2 linked regions of the Ovis aries genome follow. The protein of the gene in region 1 purifies or fractionates together with the protein of each later gene. This does not show direct contact. Links are inferred from orthologs where the notes say so. Each region holds a gene or a part of one and is shown on either strand. Other genes may lie near its edges. The genes, in order: FBXL17 and KLHL9.

Region 1 (4,435 bases):
TCCTTCCTCCTTTCTTTTATTTTTGTTTTTGTATTAAAATGTCCTCTACCTCATGAAATAATGACAGTTTAGGTAGAAAGTGGGAAGTATCTGCTTTTTACTTTGTTTTTAAACAGTCTTACTTACCAAATAACAAGACAGCAATCAAACCTCTATGCCAAATATCTGTGGATATTTCATTTGTCCATGTTGTCCACTAAGTTAAAAGATTCAAGAACATTCCCTCTGCCCTAAAATGCACAGCCTGAACATACAGAGGCAGTAATTACTCCTTCAAAAATACACTACTGAAAGGTAAACAACTTCAGTTCAGTTGCTCAGTCGTGTCTGACTCTGTGACCCCATGAACCACAGCACGCCAGGCCTCCCTGTCCATCACCAACTACCGGAGTTCACTCAGACTCAAGTCCATTGAGTCGGTGATGCCATCCAACCATCTCATCCTCTTGGACATGTGGAAAAGTTAAGCTTTCCCAGTTCTTTGCTATATTATTTACAAAAATATTAATATCACAGTAAAACAAATCCAAGCACACAGGATTATAAACATGCAAAAAGTCCAATCAAAGTATATTGTTCAGAATAAAAATTATAATTGATGACAGCTACTTCAATAACAATAAAACTAGCCAAATTCTTATCTAGGTTTTTCTAGTTAGTCTTAAATATCATCCACAGTGATAAAGGGGGTTTATATTTATAAGCTCCAGAAAGCTGCAGTGTGGGGGTGAGAGAGGAGAGAAAATGAACGGAAAAGAAACTTTTTAATACTAACTTACTACAAAGTATCACGTACTTAAATTCATCACTGCTGCTGCTGCTTGACAAAACTGCAAATTTTACTTGGTAGCTGAAAGTGGGACCAGGTTTCCACGGGATATCTACCTCTTCCCCACACACGTATCCCCCCAACAAAAAATACACTTGTCCTTACCGTCTGGTAATCTGTCTGCATTACCTAAGATAATAGAACATAGCATAAATAAAAGGGTTTTCAAGTCAGACAGGCCTAAACTCCGCAGATCTGTCTGTGTGTGACCTTGGGCAAGTCATTCAGCCCCTTGAAGCACCGCTGGCCTGTAAGCTCCACAGGAACACACACCACGTCGGCCTGACTTTCGACTGTAGGCACTTGCGCTGATACATCGGTTTCTTCTTGTGTAAAGATGTTAACAATATTTCTTTCATGGCGTCAACTGAAGGATTCGGTGAGATATTATGTATATAAAGCTCTGGCACTGTGCCTGATCATCGTGGTCAAGTGCTCGATAGATAAAAGGTAACTGTTTTTTGACATCAGCTAGCAGTTATCAAATCTGAAATTACTGTCTGAACACTTTCCAACACTAATATACAAGTCTTTACTCGGTTAAGTGCAAACCGCTCAAGGGATTAAAAAAAAAAAAATTTTTTTTTTCTTTTTTTTTTTCACAGAAAACCTACAGTTTCTACAACAGTGGGCTTGGGACTCTCCTAGGTGAACCGGGATTACGCGCAGCAGACCCAAGCGATTAAAAGGACCTTCAGCGGACTCCAAGCCCCTGCACCTGAAATAACCGGGTGTCAGGGAGGCCCCCCCGCGGGGCGTGCAGCAGAGAGAACCCCCGAGCGGGCCCGGCGGGGGGTGGGGGGCACGCAGACCCACCTTAAGCAGGATGGAGGGCGGCAGCTGGTTGATGTCCGGGGCGTCGGGGGGCGGCTCCCTGTGGCAGTCGCACGGCGGATCGGGGCCCTCCGGACAGTCGGCGTCGCCGCACTCGTGCTGCTGCTGCCGGGCGACCGAGGGGGCGGCGCCCCCCGCTCGGACCGCGTCCCCGCCGGCCTCCGCGGGGGCCCCTCCCGGAGCGGCGGGGGAGCGCGGGGCGCGGAGCGGCGGCGGGGGGTGCTGCTCGGGGCCGCCGCCCGCAGGCCCGCCGCCGCCGCCGCCTCCGCCGCAGGCGCCCCCGCCGCAGCGGGGCTGCTTACAGGGGGTGCAGGCGGGGACCCCGGCCCCCTTCCGCTTGCACACCATCTCGGGGGGCGCAGGGGGCTCGGCCGGCGGCGCCCGGAAGAGCCGCGAGGCGGCGGGCGGCGCGGGCGGACGCACGGGCCCCGCGCGGGCCCACAGGAGGCTCCGGGCCGGCCGCTCCCGGGCGGCGGCGGCGGCCGGCCCCAGCTCCCCGCGGCCGGGGGCGGGCGGCGCGGCGACGGCGGCGGCGGCCGAGAGCAGAAGGCGGCGCGCGGCGTCCTCAGCGGCCAGGCCCGCGCGGCGCCGCGCCGGGGGCTGTGAGGAGGCGGCCGCGCCGTAGGCCCCGAGCGGCCGCGGCGACGACAGCGGCGGCTCCTCCTCCGGGCCGGCGGGGGCGGGCGCGCCGGGGCCGTGCACGACGAGGCAGAGCATGCAGGGCCCGCGGAAGAGGCAGTCCCGGCCCCGGGGCGCCGCCGCCGCCTTGGCCGGGGCCCCGCGGGGCCACCTGAGGAGAGGCCGGCGGCGGCGGCGCCACCAGCTGCCGCAGCGGGGCCGCTTCTGGCGCGGGCGGCGGCGCGGCTCCTTCGAGAGCAGGAGGCCCATAGGGGAGGCCCCGCGCAGGGGCCGGGTCAGGGCAGGCCGCGCGGGGGTCGGCCTCGGGCCCGCGGGCACACGCGGGCACACACACACACGGGCACACACGCGGCGCTGGGGGGCTACATGCTCTGCCCCGGGACGCCGGGAGACCACGGCGGGGCGCGAGCTCTTGGGACCCGACGGAGGCCGGCGAGCCTGCTGACCGCGCGGCTGCTCGCAGCCTGGGCCGCCGCCTCAGTTGGTCAGGGCGGCGGCGGGGGAAGCGCGGGGCGCGCCTCAGACCACTTTAACGGCGGCTCTGCCGGCGGCGGCGCGCGCGCCCGCGGCACAGCTCGGCGCGCCGGGAGCGCGCGGCCCGAGCGGGAAGGGGGCGGGGCCGCGGCGGAGGCGCGCGCGGGGAGGCGGAGCGGGAGCGCGCGGCCCGAGCGGGAAGGGGCGGGGCCGCGGCGGAGGCGCGTGCGGGGAGGCGAAGCGGGAGCGCGCGGCCGGATCGGGGAGGGAGCGGGGCCTCAGCGGCGGGGGGGCGGCTCGGGAGCGCGCGGCCCGCTCGGGAAGGGGGTGTGGCCGATCGGGAAGGGGGCGGGGCCTCGGCGGCGCGCGTGGCCGCTCGCCCCCTGAGGGCCGCTCGGCCGGGCCCGCCGTCACGGGTGCGGGCTCACCGCCCCCTGTCCCCGTCGCCCGCGGTCTCCCGGAGCCCACGCCCCCTTCGTGGGACCGGGGGGAGCCGCCTCCGAGCTCGTCGGGTGACGTCCGTGGGCACAGTCGCGCTGACGTCGCTAGGCGCACGTTCGGGAACCGCCATTGGCCGGGAACCGGCGCTCTCACCGCCCGACCGGACGCCGAGGCCGCTGAGGAGACCCGGTCCCGCCCGAGGCCAGCCCGGGTGCCCGGCGTGCTCTCCGCGAGAATGGTTCTCCCGCGAGGGACTCACGGGTGGACCGGCTCTGCCGTGTTTCTGCGCTTGTCTGCGGACACCTGTTGCTAGGGACGGACCGGCTTTCCCTAAGTGCATTTCAGGATAAACGCACTTATCAGGTAATTTCAATTCAGTCGCTCAGTCGTGTCCGACTCTTTGCGACCGCATAAACCGCAGCACACCAGGCCTCCCTGTCCATCACCAGCTCCCCGAGTTCACCTAAACCCATGTCCATTGAGTCGGTGATGCCATCCAACCATCTCATCCTCTGTCGTCCCCTTCTCCTCCCACCTTCAGTCTTTCCCAGCATCAGGTTATTTTCCAGTGAGTCACTTCTTCACTCAGGTGGCCAAAGTATTAGACTTTCAGCTTCAACACCAGTCCTTCCGATGAATATTCAGGACTGATTTCCTTTAGGATTGACTCGTTAGATCTCCTTGCAATCCAAGGGACTCTCAAGAGTCTTCAACACCACAGTTCAAAAGCATCAATTCTTCGGTGCTCAGCTTTCTTTATGGTCCAACTCGCACATTCATACATGACTACTGGAAAAACCATAGCTTTGTCTAGACGGACCTTTGTTGGCAAAGTGATGGCTCTGTTTTTTAATATGCTGTCTAGGTTGGTCATAGCTTTTCTTCAAAGGAGCAAATGTCTTTTAATTTCATGGCTACAGTCACCATCTGCAGTGATTTTGGAGCCCCCCAAAATAAAGTCTGTCACTGTTCCTGCTGTTTCCCCATCTGTTTGCCATAAAGTGATGGGACCAGATGCCATGATCTTAGTTTTCTTTCTTAGTTGAGTTTTAAGCCAACTTTTTCACTTTTTCAGGTTATTTAGACACACACAGATAAACACTTTCTCAACCCAGTTAGCCATGCAGCATCCCAGGCCGCACAGCTATGGAGGACTCCATCCTCTGCACCCATCGCTCCATCCATCACGCACAGGACTTTTAAAAAATGATTGCTTAC
Region 2 (4,563 bases), on another chromosome or scaffold:
AGTTCTCTATAAATGACTAAGATCTCCAGGTTAAAAAAGATAGGTGCAGAACAGTGAGTATAGTATGTTATCTTCATATTTTCATCAGTTAGCTGATACATAAAGAAACTGGAAGGATGTATAAGACAGTAGTAACTTCAAAATGTGGAAAGTGTTGGAAGCAGTTGTCAAAGTATACATTTATTCATATATCCAAATTTAAATTGACTAGTAATTTTTAAAATATAAGTTAATCAACTATATTTGAATTTTTTAAAATGTAAGTTTTAAAATAACCATTAAGGGAAAGATCAGTAGTGGGATAAATATACACTCAAAGTGTTGACTTTAAAAAAGTACTTAAAAAGAGTTGTGAGTTAAGTTTTATTGGGGGCAAAATGAGACTATTGCCCTGGAGATAGCATTTCACATACTCTGGGAAGCTGCTCCAAAGAGGTAGAGGGGTGGTTGGTATATATGTGATTTTAGTGAAGAGAGGGGTATATGCAATCAAGCATGTTTTTTTGCAGAAGGTTTTGCTAGTCACGAGGGAGCAGATATCACCATGAAGGAATTTAGTGCTTTTCTAGATATGAGGAGATGCAAAAATTGTGCTCCTAAAATCAGCTCCTGAAAATATCTATCTGAAGACCTGTTCTGCCAGTTTTTCCAGAGCACAAGAGTGCCTCCTTTCTGATCTCCACTCTGAACACCCATCAGGTGGTGTTGAAGGTCAGCAGCTACAACAGCAGGAGAGATTTATTCAATCCTTGTAGAGGTAGATGGCAAGTGCCAATGAAAAGTGCCAATATGTAGTTTTTCAAAACATCTCTGGTGACAATATTTTGCAAAAAACTTTGTATGTCTTCAAGCAGCATTCTAACATTAGGATTTATCCCAAAATGGGAAGTTTTGTGCTCGGAGTCTGTAACATTGGAGAACAACGAAGTATATATTCAGGAACAAATGACAATTGTCTATCCATTTAAAAACTTGTGAGTGGAAAACAAAAGCACGAAAAATTTACTGATGGAATTCTGCTGCATGGCAAAAATTCAGCCTATATTATTTACATAGCATGGTCATAATTTGGTATTTTAAGAGAGGCAAATAACCTGTTTTAAATGATTAAAATCTGAAAATATGTACCCAGAGTTATACTTGAACTGTCTATTAAATTGTGTGGGATAGGTTTTTTGTTGGTTTTTTTTTTGGTTGAGGAGTTTGAGGGATCTTGGTCTGCAGCCAGGGTTTGAACCCTGGCCACAGCAGTGAAAGTGCCGAGTCCTAACCACTGACCTGCCAGAACATTCCCAGTGTGGGATAAGAATTAATAAAGTTTGTTTTTTATAGAGGAAAACTAAAAGCATCTTTCCCCTAAGGAAGCCTTCTGCCAGGTTTCAGCTTCCAGAAAAGCTGCATTTCATTGTTATCCAAAAGGCAGAAGCCAAGAAATGTAAATCTCGAAGTATTCATTTAGAGGAACAGCTCAGCTGCAGTGAAAGAGTTATATTAAAAATAATATCCGGGCACCCATTCCTATTTAATAATACCACATACAAAGTATCCCGAAGACACCCCGCTGGCCCACCCAGCACAGCTCTGCGCGACCCAAACCCCGCCTGCTCGAGGCACGGCCCACATCCTCCCATCCCCCACACAAGCCCGCCTACTGGCTAGGTCGGGCGGCTGCGCAGCCGCAGTAGCTGCCACGGCCGCTCCTAGCCCGGGGGATCCTGGGACGAGGCCTTTCCGGAAGGACCGGCTCGGCGTTGGGAGCTCGGCCCGTGTTCCAGGCCCAGGCTCGTGTTCCAGGTCCTTGCTCCAGGACGGGCCGGTAGCCGCGGCGACGCTCAAAGGGCGGCGGAGGGCGCGGCGGGCCGCTCTCTGAGGTGCCGGCCCTCGCCGTCGAGCGAGACGCCGGGCCGCAGGACGTGGCGGCACCTCCCCCTTAGCCCGGAGCAGAACTGCGGGAAGAGCAGCGCAGGCCGGACCAGGTGAACCGGGTCACTTAACTGCCTCAGGTGATGAATCATCTACATAGTAGTCAGATTTGAGGTCCACAGCCCTCTGTGGGCCAGCTGCAGAACAATTTTCAATGTGGGACTATTGTGTTCTGAGGCGTGCTGCAGTGACAGTTTGCCCTTGATAAGGAAAGCGAGCTCTCTTGCTCTTGGGACATCCTCGTTTCCTTTAAAGCTTTCCGGTCGTAACCTCTTTGTCCGGCATACATCTTTGTGCAAGAGGAAGGCGTTCACATGAAAGTGTCTCTTGGTAACGGTGAAATGGGCGTCTCCGCCCATTTACAGCCTTGCAAGGCAGGAACCACACGTTTTTTTACCAGCAATACTCACAGTTCGGTGGTACTGCAAGGTTTTGATCAACTTAGAATAGAAGGATTGCTTTGTGATGTGACTCTGGTGCCAGGTGATGGAGATGAAATCTTCCCTGTTCATAGAGCTATGATGGCGTCCGCTAGTGATTACTTCAAGGCTATGTTCACAGGTGGAATGAAAGAACAGGATTTAATGTGCATTAAGCTTCACGGAGTGAACAAAGTTGGTCTGAAGAAAATTATTGATTTTATTTATACTGCAAAGCTTTCTCTTAATATGGACAATCTTCAGGACACTCTTGAAGCTGCCAGCTTTTTGCAAATCTTGCCTGTTTTAGACTTCTGTAAAGTGTTTCTTATTTCAGGAGTCTCTTTAGATAACTGTGTTGAAGTTGGACGAATTGCTAACACCTACAATCTTATAGAAGTAGATAAATATGTCAATAATTTCATTCTGAAGAATTTTCCTGCCTTACTGAGTACTGGAGAGTTTCTAAAACTCCCTTTTGAACGGCTTGCCTTTGTGCTTTCTAGCAATAGCCTTAAGCACTGTACTGAACTTGAGCTCTTTAAGGCTGCCTGTCGCTGGCTAAGGTTGGAAGATCCTCGGATGGATTATGCTGCAAAATTAATGAAGAATATTCGATTTCCACTGATGACACCACAGGATCTCATCAATTATGTGCAGACAGTAGATTTTATGAGAACAGACAATACGTGTGTGAATTTGCTTTTGGAAGCTAGCAATTACCAAATGATGCCATATATGCAGCCAGTGATGCAGTCAGATAGAACCGCCATTCGATCTGATTCGACACACTTGGTTACATTAGGAGGAGTTTTGAGGCAGCAGCTGGTTGTCAGTAAAGAATTACGGATGTATGATGAGAGGGCTCAAGAGTGGAGATCTTTAGCCCCCATGGATGCTCCTCGTTACCAGCATGGCATTGCTGTCATTGGAAACTTTCTTTATGTAGTTGGTGGTCAAAGTAATTATGATACAAAAGGAAAAACTGCTGTTGATACAGTTTTCAGATTTGATCCTCGATATAATAAATGGATGCAGGTTGCATCATTAAATGAAAAGCGCACATTTTTCCACTTGAGCGCCCTCAAAGGACATTTGTATGCTGTTGGTGGGCGAAGTGCAGCTGGTGAGCTGGCCACTGTAGAATGTTACAATCCAAGAATGAATGAGTGGAGCTATGTTGCGAAAATGAGTGAACCCCACTATGGCCATGCTGGAACAGTGTATGGAGGCTTAATGTATATTTCAGGAGGAATTACTCATGACACTTTCCAAAATGAGCTCATGTGTTTTGACCCTGATACAGACAAATGGACACAGAAGGCTCCAATGACAACAGTCAGAGGTCTGCATTGCATGTGTACAGTTGGAGACAAGCTCTATGTCATTGGTGGCAATCACTTCAGAGGAACAAGTGATTATGATGATGTTCTAAGCTGTGAATACTATTCGCCAACTCTTGACCAGTGGACACCAATTGCTGCCATGTTAAGAGGTCAAAGTGATGTTGGAGTTGCTGTCTTTGAAAATAAAATCTATGTCGTAGGTGGATATTCTTGGAATAATCGTTGTATGGTAGAAATTGTCCAGAAATATGACCCAGAAAAGGATGAGTGGCATAAAGTTTTTGACCTTCCAGAGTCACTTGGTGGCATTCGAGCTTGTACTCTCACAGTTTTTCCACCTGAAGAAAATCCTGGGTCACCTTCCAGAGAATCACCTCTTTCAGCACCTTCAGATCATTCTTAGGACCAAGGTGTAAAACCTTTGCAGTGCATCAAGGATGATCCCGTAATTCCCCTTCAGTTGTATCTTCTTACAATGATTGGTACAGTTATTAGATTAAAAAGGTAATTGATGTTATTTGTATTGTTTGGCTTAGTATGTTTATCAAATGGTTAACAACTGTATTCTGCAAATGTATGTGTTCAACATAGCTATTTTAACAAATGTAAAAAGCAGAAAAATTGTTAGATATCTTTTTGTGGTGTTGTGTAAGGCAGAGTGTAGGTGATTGAAGTAAATGTATAATTATGTTCATTATGCTTCAAAGTTGAAAGTTTTCATCTTTGACTACAAGACATCAAAGGGAGGATGCCTACTATAACCTAAAATAATAAACAAAAAAGGTCGTCAAGCCTTATTAGCTGCTTCCCTTTTTTCATGGTTTGTGACATAGCTGCTGACTCACCAAATTGTGTGGGTACATTCAGAATATGTG

What was found.
Region 2: the proteins of FBXL17 (region 1) and KLHL9 purify together in Homo sapiens (co-immunoprecipitation; 3 studies listed by BioGRID and IntAct, with this or other methods). This does not show direct contact. The link is inferred for Ovis aries from reciprocal best matches to the Homo sapiens genes FBXL17 and KLHL9.

What each region holds. Positions count from the first base shown.
Region 1 is NC_056058.1:104,988,313-104,992,747, forward strand, and holds the start of FBXL17 (F-box/LRR-repeat protein 17), read right to left. Parts: upstream 2,870-4,435; 5' UTR 2,552-2,869; coding exon 1,646-2,551; intron 1,532-1,645; exon of another isoform or gene 1,435-1,531; intron 1,280-1,434; exon of another isoform or gene 1,073-1,279; intron 1-1,072. UniProt on the Homo sapiens protein: Substrate-recognition component of the SCF(FBXL17) E3 ubiquitin ligase complex, a key component of a quality control pathway required to ensure functional dimerization of BTB domain-containing proteins (dimerization quality control, DQC).
Region 2 is NC_056055.1:89,892,420-89,896,982, reverse strand, and holds the start of KLHL9 (kelch-like protein 9), read left to right. Parts: upstream 1-1,707; 5' UTR 1,708-2,237; coding exon 2,238-4,091; 3' UTR 4,092-4,192; intron 4,193-4,563.